Canis lupus familiaris: one gene and its partners. The protein of the gene in region 3 purifies or fractionates together with the protein of the main gene of each other region. This does not show direct contact. Links are inferred from orthologs where the notes say so. Each region holds a gene or a part of one and is shown on either strand. Other genes may lie near its edges.

Region 1 (3,518 bases), on a different chromosome or scaffold from region 3:
ATGTGGCAGGAACAGACTCTGCTCCTTCACGTCTCTCCTTGGTGGGGTGTTCCCTTAGCTAGTATGAAGTCTATAAGTAGTGGGTCCTAGATTTCAGTCAAGGGGCAGATGCTGCCTGGGATATGGAATTGTTTGCATCATTTCTATTTTTTTTAAGATTTTATTTATTCATGAGAGACAGAGAGGCAGAGACATAGGCAGAGGGAGAAGCAGGTTCCCTGCAGGGAGCCCGATGCGAGACTCATTCCCAGGACCCCAGGATCACTACCTGAGTCAAAGGCAGACTCTCAACCACTGAGCCAACCAGGTGCCCCATTTGTATCATTTCTAGATGCTGCTACTGTGAGGGTAGCTTTGTTTTGACAACAGATTCTAGAACTGGATTGTAGGATTACAGACTTCAGCTGGGATGAGTCGATACCAAGAAGGTTATAGGAGTGGGGCTCCTGGCTCACTCAGTTGGTGAAACATGCAACTTTTGATCTCAGGGTCGAGCATTCAAGCCCCATGGTGGGTGTAGAGATTACTTTAAAATCTCGGGGTGGGGGAGATTGCAGGGGTGACGTTCATTATACAGGGATGGGTGGGTGGCAGCCTACCCAAGAAGTTGGGTGATTTTCTTCATTTGGAAATGCAGAAACTGAAGGAAAAAATGGGGTCAGAAAGACTGCCATCTGGGCCTGTAAGGGGCTGACATCTCATTCTCTCATCTTAGTTCCCCTCAGGGATCGAGGAACCTTTAGTGTGTCAGAAGCTCAAGAGGCCATGGTAGCTACAGTTGTCGTCAGTTCTAGGAATGAGGTTTTTAAATCATGGGCATCTCAGTGTTCTAAGGATTTAATTTCTTTTTCCCTTCTAATTATCTTCCCAGGCTGTAGGAGTCAAGTGAGTCACCCTTTCTCCTCTTCCCCTGGCGGAAATCGAAGCGACAGCTAAGTGCTAGGGAGGGGCTCTGACCTGGATGACTGGTTTTCAGTTTCTGTCCCTCCCTCCTAAGGAGCCTGGGAGGTCAGCCTCTGGGTGGGGCTGTATGAGGACTCTTCTTGCTTGTATTCTACCCCAAACCCTGCCAGAGTATGGGAACATCTTTTCTGAAGCAGATAACCCCCAGAGGCAGAGGCTTCTTTGGGAGGCGTGGATAGCGTAAAACTAGACCTGGGACTGAGGGTCTGTTTTCCTTTGAAATCAGTGCCTACCTCGCTTCATTATTTTGTTTCCAATTACGTACTCACCTACCAAGGGAAGCAAAGAGTTAATTGATATTTACTATCTAAAAAGCCTGTGCAATAAATATTTACTTACTTTTTTTTTTTTTAATGAGTGGCTAAATAGAATTTGAATAAATAGATGGAGGTGGTAAAGACTCGTGAGATGCTTTATGACGGTCAGTCTTGTCTCTTATTAGTTTATATCTGATTAAGGAGCTCAATTCCTGTGAATTGTCCTGAATCACTTGTTCAGGGCTGTGCTTTTTGTTTTGATGGAGACAGATCTCTCTGAACAGAATCCAGGACTACTGTGGATTCATTTTCCAGACTCATTTGTTGTGTTATTCTCCTGGCCACTTCTTTCTTTCTTTCAATGAACTCTTCCTTTACTACTGGCTGGTTTAGATAAAGGGGACAAGGACAGATGCTGTCCTCATTCTGGAGATTAAGTTCTCAGCCACAAAGCAGATTAGGGCATTTAGCCACTGTCTTGTAAGAGGAAGTTCTTCGTGAGCTGAGATAGGAGAACGGGCATTTGATAGTACTGACAAAGTGATCAGCACGTCAGGTGTTTTGAAACTTCCAGCTCCCAGGAAATCAGAAAGAAAAGAGTTCTTATAGCATTCCTACTTAGACTTATAACCTGAGAGAAACTGAGCTTAATCCTCGACTAGAACACCCCCTGCTTTTTTTGGGGGGGGGTGTCAAAGAAAAGTTACCTAAAGCATATCTCTTGATTTGGACCCTGTGGAATATTGAATATGTTTGGCCAGTTTCTTTTTTCCTGTAGGATTTAGGGCTGATTTGATTTGCTCCCTCCTATTTTCCTCTCTGCTACTTGTCTGCCTCATTTATAGACCTCAAGAGATCTAGTTCTGTGTCTTGATATTCCTACATATCAGTGTGTGGGCCCCCTGTCCGCCTTGAGAACCAGCTTTTTGTTGAATAAAAACTCCCAGGAATATCTGATGCAGTGAATAAATTTTAGGCAGTGGAGAGTGGTTGAAAGCCAGCTGGAAAGAGGGAAGGGGAGCCAGAGAGGCAGGTGGTATCCCGTGCTCTGCGCCAGTGTACAGGTCAGTGGGGCATGGCCGAGATCCAGCAGCCTTGGGCTGCGCAAGAGAGGGGAATGTAGCTGGCGTCAATTACACACTCAGTCCCTAGCTCTTATGCCTGGCTAAAAAGAGATAAGGACAGATTCTAAAATGTGGAAAGAGCCACAGGGGAAGAATGAATCTGAAGAACACAGACCTCAGTAAAAGGGGTTATGGTAGGAGAGATTCTGAATTTCGTACCTTGATCTAAAATGAGCATTTCTGTGGGGAAACTAGACCCAATTGTTGGGAAGGATGAAGATCATTTGAGACAGCAGAGATGAAATACACGTAATTTATAGGTATGGGGACTGAAACTTTCAGATTTTTATATGGTCGGTGTCCCAAATGTTAGGGGCAGCCCCTCATTTTCTTTGTTATCTGTGCAGCTGTCCAGGACTAAGCCTCTGTGTGTCACCTGCAGTGCCCATCTACAATGCGATTGTTTTTCTCTTTGTGCTGGCCAACTTCAGCATGGCCACCTTCATGGACCCAGGGATTTTCCCTCGAGGTAAGAGCTCCCTCTCCTCTCTTGGAAACTCCTCAACTACCTTTCAAATATAATGGTTTTTGGACATGTGCATTTAATCCTGGGCCTTAGGACTCTGGGGGTTGTGGGATATGTCTGTAGTCTCATGATGAAAAGCTGGTCAGAGTCCTCCAGAATAGGTGTCATAACTTCTAGTCCTCTTAATTCACTTTGGGTCAAGTTTTTGATTTTCAGTTGCTCATTGAGCAGAGATTCATTTTGAGCATATGGGTCGGGCAATGATAATCTAAGATGAATTAGACAGTTATAATAGTGTGGTGTGAACTGTAGTGGAGGCATGAATGAGGTTCTGTGAGACCATATAAAAGGGTGCACTTATATCTGCCCCCATTAAATTGGGGAAATGCTGCAAGGAGGACACAGGAAAGACTTCGAGTGGAGGATGGTAGGGAAGCACATTCTAGGCCGAGGAAGCAGTACATGCCACTAGTGCTGAGCTCAGTGGGGTGGAAGATAAAAGCTCATGGTCGGGCCAGAAGGAGTAGGAGGTAAACAGCCAAATTGTGGAAGACTTTATGTACTAAATTAAATAGATTACATTTCTTCCTTTGGACAGCAAGAGATCTTTAACTGGAGGAATCACAGGATCAGATTTCCTTTACAAAAATCATTCTTGTAAGAATGCACAGATACCTTTTGGGAGGCGATTGCAATAATGTAAACCAG
Region 2 (2,614 bases), on a different chromosome or scaffold from region 3:
TGCCACCTTGGTCAAGAATTTTAAAACCCCACGCCCAAGCATTTTGTATGTTTACTTAGCTTTTCTACCTTCCACCAAAGGTGCTGAAAGACAATGCAAACCTCAGGAGGGAGGAAGAGAGAGAAGAGGGAGTAACCAGCAACTGCAGAGGCAATAATCGGCTGTACTGGCTTTGTTGTAAGTCAGAAGCGGACCTGATTATCTCTGTACAACACAAACATCCACAGCCATTACAGGACCTTATAAAAAAAAAAATCTAGCCACGTTAAATATGATACTTAGAGATCACAAACTACTGTGAAAACATGTTTTTAAACTCTGAAATCTTAAAGGGATAAAGAGCCTCGTTTTCTAATGGAGGCAAGAGCTTCCCTTATTTTTTGGAAGATAAAACAGAGACCTCAGCAACAAAGCATTTTCCAGAGAACCAGAGATATCGTTCAGAATCCTGTACTTCTTTATCCTAAAACATTGAGATTTAAATCAACTCAGAAAGTATACACAATTGAGTTTCTTCTCATTTTTTATTTTATTTTTATAAAAAAGACAGATTCAGGATATTTGTAAGAAATTACTAAGTTACATTTTTTTTAAAATCTGTCAAGTGCTACAGTAATGGAATAAGATTTTTTAAAGTTCAATGTTTATAGACATGTTTATAAAAAAAAATGACTGAATTAGAAGATGTTAAATAATGTTGATACACACCAGGAAGGGATTTAGGCAAGGAAAGGCACATCATTTCACCACAAGAAATAAAGACCATAGTTGGAAGTTAATGACCAGCCAAAGCTTTAGGTCTTGTGGTAGTTTTCCTAGCTCCGGAGGGTCATTATGGTTGAACCTTCTTCATGGTATTGAGCTGGAATAAATAGACAGCGGTTGGAAAATTTTACTCTGTGACCCCAAAGTAGTGTTACAAAGAAAGCACTCTTAATGAGCCTGATGTGTGAGGAGGCAAGGAGCAAAAATCCAAAATGGTTTGGTTGTACTGAAAATCCTACTGACATATTAAGGAGAGTTAAAAAAAAAAATTAAAAAAAAGTAAAATAAGGTTAATCCTCTTGTCTGGCTGAATTGGAATTCTTGCAGTTACAAAGTTAAAATTTCAAGTAAACACTGTATTTTTCACTTCCTTTCTTGCAGACAGACACAGTATAGATAAACAGCTGCCGTATTTCACCTTGAATAAAACTTTATGCCAGTATTTGGGGGAAAGGATCTCAGATAGTTTCCTTATTTTATATAGCTTAAGTCTTTGAATATAGCACTAATGTTCTGGCTGACTGGCTATCTACAACAGCAAAGTGACCCTAAGTCTTGACAAAATGAGTTTCTCAGAGACACTAAAGAGTTTCTAGTTGAACAGATAGTTATTTACTGAAAAGTCTAACTGACATCAGCAGAAGTCTTGGGGCCAATTTTCCCCTATCAATTTTCTTTCACAAATTTGTCCCAAGTGTCTACCCATTTCTGGCTGTCTGGACTCTGAACCTAGATTAGTTTGTGCAAAAGATGGAATCATTCAGAATAATGCTTATAAGTTTTAGTGGTATTAAGAAACAACTGTGTGAATAAATAGAATGGATTTTCAGGATAAAATGGTAGATCCACAAAAAAATTTTTTTTTAATTAAAAACAATGGGAAAAGGGAGATAAGGAAAAAATATCAATATTGAAAAATAATAAAAATGGCAATTGCAATTCAGGCAGCTTCCCCCTCATGCCACACGATATGCCTTCATTAAGGTGTACTCTTTCCGGTTGGTATGGGCAGCCCAGATGAAGAGAGCGGAAGCCATGAACTGTAAGGGAGCTGAAACACACGCCAGGCAGAAGGACCATCCAAATTCACCAGACACATTCTCAGGCAGCTCTAGCTTCTGGTGTAGTAGCTCAATTCCAGCAACATAACAACTCACGGAGCCCAGGGTACACAGACCTCGGGGGAGAACAAAACATAACTAGGTAAGGGCATCGTGAGAGTTTTTCAGGCAGCACGGCAACACTGCGTGTGTTTAAGGATTACGATCCCTCTGTCTCTATGGAGGAGGAAGAGGTAAGTATACTGACAAGCCTCACCTGCAAGGAGATGGAGAATGCCCGTGGCAATGGTGGGATACAAACTTCGGCAGATGCAAGCACAAAATCCAATCACAGCCCCGAAGCACATCAAACCGAGACTAACGAACGGTAAAAGGAACTGGCAACGCCAAAGATCTAATTTTGAAAAAGACAAAAAAGAAATGTTACCTCAATTTCAGACAGTTTTTCACAATGACAATTTCTTTTATATACTAATTAGATCTTTTCTCAAAAAGTGAAAAAGGAGGGGCCCCTTGGATGGCGCTGTCAAGCACCCCACTCTTGCCTTTTTTTTTTTTTTTTAATTTTTTATTTATTTATGATAGTCAGAGAGAGAGAGAGGCAGAGACACAGGCAGAGGGAGAAGCAGGCTCCATGCACCGGGAGCCCGACATGGGATTCAATCCCCGGTCTCCAGGATCGCGCCCTGGGCCAAAGGCAGGCGCCAAACCGCTGCGCCACCCAGGGATCCCCCACTCTTGCTTTCTGAGGCAGGTGGTGACCTCAGCACCGAGCTGGGCTCCTTGCT
Region 3 (4,208 bases):
CTCTATTAAATTACCAAGTGTGATGTTCTCCCCAGAGGAAAATCAGCCCAGTGGCAGAGCAATCAGTACAATTTCTAGGGTAAGTAGTATAGAAACAAAGACAGAAACCTTTTAATTTTCCATCAAACAAAGCAAGGAAAATTTAAACCTGTAATTTAAATTTGATTTCAATACATTAAAAGAAAAATCAAAGCTCTCCCAAGCAGTTTAAAGCATAAACTAGTGTTTTAACCCAAACACTGAAAAAAAAAAAAAAGGAAGAAAAAAAAAAAAAAAAACACCCTCAAAGACACAATTGAATAGCACCAAGTAACACTCCCTATAGTTAGTACTCAGAGTCACATTATAGCCTAGCAGTTCTAGGCTATAATCTGAAGTCAAAGAAGTAAAAGGACTCCAGAATTTAGAAACATCAATTTCCTGTAAGAATCCGTGGAGATTCTCAGAATCCAGACTATAAAGTAAAGGCTCTACCACACATGGAGTAGAAGGCTAATGTCTGGTCCTGCATATCTGCATATATATATTTGGCTCAGTTATGAGTTGGAAGTTTGACTTTAAAACCTTTAAACAAACGAACAAACAAACAATAAATAAAACCTTTAAACAAAGGAATCGGGATCCTGGGTGGTGCAGCGGTTTGGCGCCTGCCTTTGGCCCAGGGAGTGATCTTGGAGACCCGGGATCGAATCCCACATTGGGCTCCCGGTGCATGGAGCCTTCTTCTCCCTCTGCCTATGTCTCTGCCTCTCTCTCTCTCTCTCTCTGTGACTATCATAAAACAAAACAAAACAAAACAAAAAAAACAAACAAAAAAAAAACAAAGGAATCTTATAACATCCAAGTAAGTGTGGTAGAAAGAAGAGTTTACACTCTGATTTGAAAGTACATAAATAGTATAAGTCAGAGTTTCCATAACAGGCTTACAAATAAAACATTTGATCCATTTCATACAAGTCCTAACACGTAAAACATGTTAACTAGGATGTTAAGTTATTTTAAAAATAACGTTCAGTAGCGGTAGACAACAGGCAACTTGCTCAATTTCTATCTCTTGAAACCATGATGGAAATGTCCACCCAGTGTCAAGCTGAGTTAACTCAACATCTAGACGGCAAAGTGCAGCATTTAATACAGCATCTCACAGACAAGCTCATCCACACACCATCCCTGTAAAGCATACCTGATCTTTCATTTGCACTTAAAGAAACATACTTGGGTCACTAACCTGACCACAATTATAAATTAAGTCGAAGGACACTAGGATTGATACACATTGATTTTCCAAACTTGGCATTCAGGTAGAGCAATCTACCTGTTACAAGCTGATTTTAAAGGACTGCTACACATTTCTCTTGTACAGACTCCTCTATACCCACTTATCCCATGACCAGTATTTCTTACTCCCACACCCACAACACACCTAATCACCTCAGTCCCTCACCCTCCCCATCAAGCAGAAAAGAGCAGAAAACCTGCTCCCCTTTAACCAGAAACTGATCTCTAAAAAGAAAACAGAATGCAAGGTAACATGGCTCAAGACCAAAAGCTCTTTCTTTGGGTGGGTGAGCACATTCAGATACAAGAGAAAACAAACTCACACATGCTCACTTCGTTGTATTTTTAAAATAAAATACAAAGAATTTCTCCCCGAGTCTGAAGAAAGAGGAAACACAGCTCCATCTTCCATTTCTAGGTGCAGGGCTGCCTATGGGACCTATATCCTGACGCCAATTCTGATATGCAAGCCAACAAAACACAGGTGGCTCCCGGGGATCATAACCGGGAATTGCAAGTGTCAGGCCTTGTTCTGAGATCCTTCCCTGTCCAGGCCGATCTAATGCTCCACGTTGCTCAGGTTCCCAGCAGGCCTGTCCGTACTGCCTGGTACAGCAATTTAATAAACCCCTTCTGCCGAGCAGGGCGACCAGCACCATGGCCAGGAACCCCAATCACGAGAACGATGATGATTACTCTCCTGGCGAGGTGGGAGGATATAGTTTACAACGTGCTGAGCTAGGTGGCTGGAACCTCAGGAATTAGTTCCTCATCACTGTTGTCAATAACCCGGGGTGGGGGTGGGGGTGGGGCGGGGCGGAGGCGCGGGGGGAAGAAGGCGGCTGGTTGGTTCGGCACCACAGAGTTCTGTAAGGTCACCACACCCGGGGGTCGGTCTTATTCGTCCTCCTCCAAACGCCGCGTCCGGGCCTCGCCTCCCCTCCCCTCGCCGCCAGGCACACCGCGGGCCCGGTGTCTGCCCTGAGGAGGCCCGCCCCCATCGCCCCAGAGCAGGTGCGGGGACAGGGTGCGTACCCGGTTCTCCAGCTCCGCGGGGAACTTGGTCTGGAACTGGCACCGTGTGCCGCTGCTGTAGTCTCGCTGAATGAACACCTTCCCGGACACCGGCGCCTGCTGCGGCCTCATGGCGAGGACAGGACCGGCGCGCTGCGGGTTTGGGGGGACAACAGCCTCGGGTCAGATCCCCGGCCTGGACCCGAGACTCCGGCCCGCCCGCCCCCCAGCCCCTCCCCACGGGCCCAGGTGGCGCGAGGCGTGCCCCGCCCCACTCCCCCTCACCCATACTGGCCCCGCGGGACTTGAGCTATAGCCCGGGGCCAGGCCCCGCACCCCCCGCAGCCCGGTTCGGCCCGGGAAACACGAACCCGCCTCCTCTGCCCTCCAGCTGCAGTCGCACCGCCCACAGCGCCACTTACGTCCTGCCGCAAAAGAGCTTGTTTCCCCGCCCCTCCGCTCAGCCTCTATCGCAAGGAGAGGACTCACTTTCGCCCCGGCCGTAAAGCGACCCTGGTGAGGCTGCGCGCTGCGGTGAGGAGGCGCAGTGGGCGGGGTCCGGGCCGACCCCGCCCCTCGCCCCGCCCCGCCCCGCCCCGCCCGGGGGCGTCAATACGGAAGGAAGAGGCCGGGCCTGGCCGGGCCGGGGCGGGGCGAGGCCCGGGAAGCTACGGCTGCTGCACGCTCCCCTCGTTTGCCCCGGTCCAATACTCGGGATTTCCCTGTTGTGTCATATCCGTGTCGTGTCATTTCCCTAGTGATCGACGTAGTTTTTGACGTCCTGGCTTACCTGTGGGTGCCGCCCGACTCGGGACAAAACGAACTGCTCACACAAAATTGGAAGCAGAAAGCAGACGCCTGGGGATCCTCTTGGCAAGGGGGCGGGAGAAGGAGGGGACGGAGACCCTGCTTGGGCTTTATTACCGAGCATCCGTCCTCAGGTCTCTGCGGGGTCACCGTTCCTCCTCCCGCAGAGATGTCCATCCAGCGCCCAGTCTGTACATCCCTCGGGCGGCTGGGAGGACAGGTTCCCCTCCGTGACCTCTGGGGCTCCACCTGACTCAGCACACACTTTTGCAGAGCAGCCAAAGGAACTCCGCCTTGCCCTCAGCTGCTGGAGCCTGCCTGATACAGCCTGTTGGCACCGATGCCTTACCCTGCCTTTTATATATCTTAAAAATTTTCTCTTACTGTATTTTAAAAAGTTTTATGGAAATATAAACAGCATACAATGAGCGGAGCATACTTGAACTGAACAGTGTAATAAGTTCTGACATACGTGTGCAACCATGAAATCCTCTCAATCAAGACTGTGAACATTGATCATCCTCAGCATGTCCTACAAGCTCCTCTGTAATCCCTCTCTCCTGCCCTTACCCAGCTCCTTTTCTCCAGGCGCTGACCTGCTTTCTGCTATTATATGTTAGTTTGTACTTCTTTGAATGTTATATAAAATGAATCACAGTGTGTACTTCTTGCTTGTTTGTTTGGCTTCTTTCACATAGGCATCATTTGAGATTCATCTGTTGTTGTTTTATCAAGAATTCATTCATTTTTGTTGCTGGGTAGTATTCCATTGAATTGAGTATCCTGTCATTCGTTTATTCTGTGGACAGATTTAGGACTGCTTTCCAGTTTGGGGCTATTACAGATTAAACTGCTATCGGACATTCATCTACAAGTCTTTGTATGGACATATGATTTCATTTCTCTCGGGTAAATATCTAGTGTTTAACTTTTTAGGAAACTGCCAAACTGTTTCCCAAAGTGGTTGTACCATTTTACGTTCCCACCAGTAGCATATGAGGGATGCTCCACATCTTTGCCAACACTTGTATAGAGGTATCTTATTTGTGGTTATAAATTTTATTTTTCTATGACTAGAAAATTAGAACATCTTTTCATATACTTATTTG

The links. The genes of interacting proteins can lie anywhere in the genome.
Region 1: the proteins of GOLGA7 (region 3) and ZDHHC5 purify together in Homo sapiens (co-immunoprecipitation; 3 studies listed by BioGRID and IntAct, with this or other methods). This does not show direct contact. The link is inferred for Canis lupus familiaris from reciprocal best matches to the Homo sapiens genes GOLGA7 and ZDHHC5.
Region 2: the proteins of GOLGA7 (region 3) and CLDND1 purify together in Homo sapiens (affinity purification with mass spectrometry; 3 studies listed by BioGRID and IntAct, counting the BioPlex papers as one, with this or other methods). This does not show direct contact. The link is inferred for Canis lupus familiaris from reciprocal best matches to the Homo sapiens genes GOLGA7 and CLDND1.

What each region holds. Positions count from the first base shown.
Region 1 is NC_049239.1:38,976,603-38,980,120, reverse strand, and holds part of ZDHHC5 (palmitoyltransferase ZDHHC5), read left to right. Parts: intron 1-2,691; coding exon 2,692-2,813; intron 2,814-3,518. UniProt on the Homo sapiens protein: Palmitoyltransferase that catalyzes the addition of palmitate onto various protein substrates such as CTNND2, CD36, GSDMD, NLRP3, NOD1, NOD2, STAT3 and S1PR1 thus plays a role in various biological processes including cell adhesion, inflammation, fatty acid uptake, bacterial sensing or cardiac functions.
Region 2 is NC_049254.1:5,736,086-5,738,699, forward strand, and holds the end of CLDND1 (claudin domain-containing protein 1), read right to left. Parts: intron 2,221-2,614; coding exon 2,083-2,220; intron 1,943-2,082; coding exon 1,722-1,942; 3' UTR 506-1,721; downstream 1-505. UniProt on the Homo sapiens protein: Plays a role in negatively regulating the permeability of cells to small molecules.
Region 3 is NC_049237.1:24,832,485-24,836,692, forward strand, and holds the start of GOLGA7 (golgin subfamily A member 7), read right to left. Parts: upstream 2,811-4,208; 5' UTR 2,715-2,810; exon of another isoform or gene 2,578-2,714; intron 2,446-2,577; 5' UTR 2,425-2,445; coding exon 2,314-2,424; intron 1-2,313. UniProt on the Homo sapiens protein: May be involved in protein transport from Golgi to cell surface. The ZDHHC9-GOLGA7 complex is a palmitoyltransferase specific for HRAS and NRAS.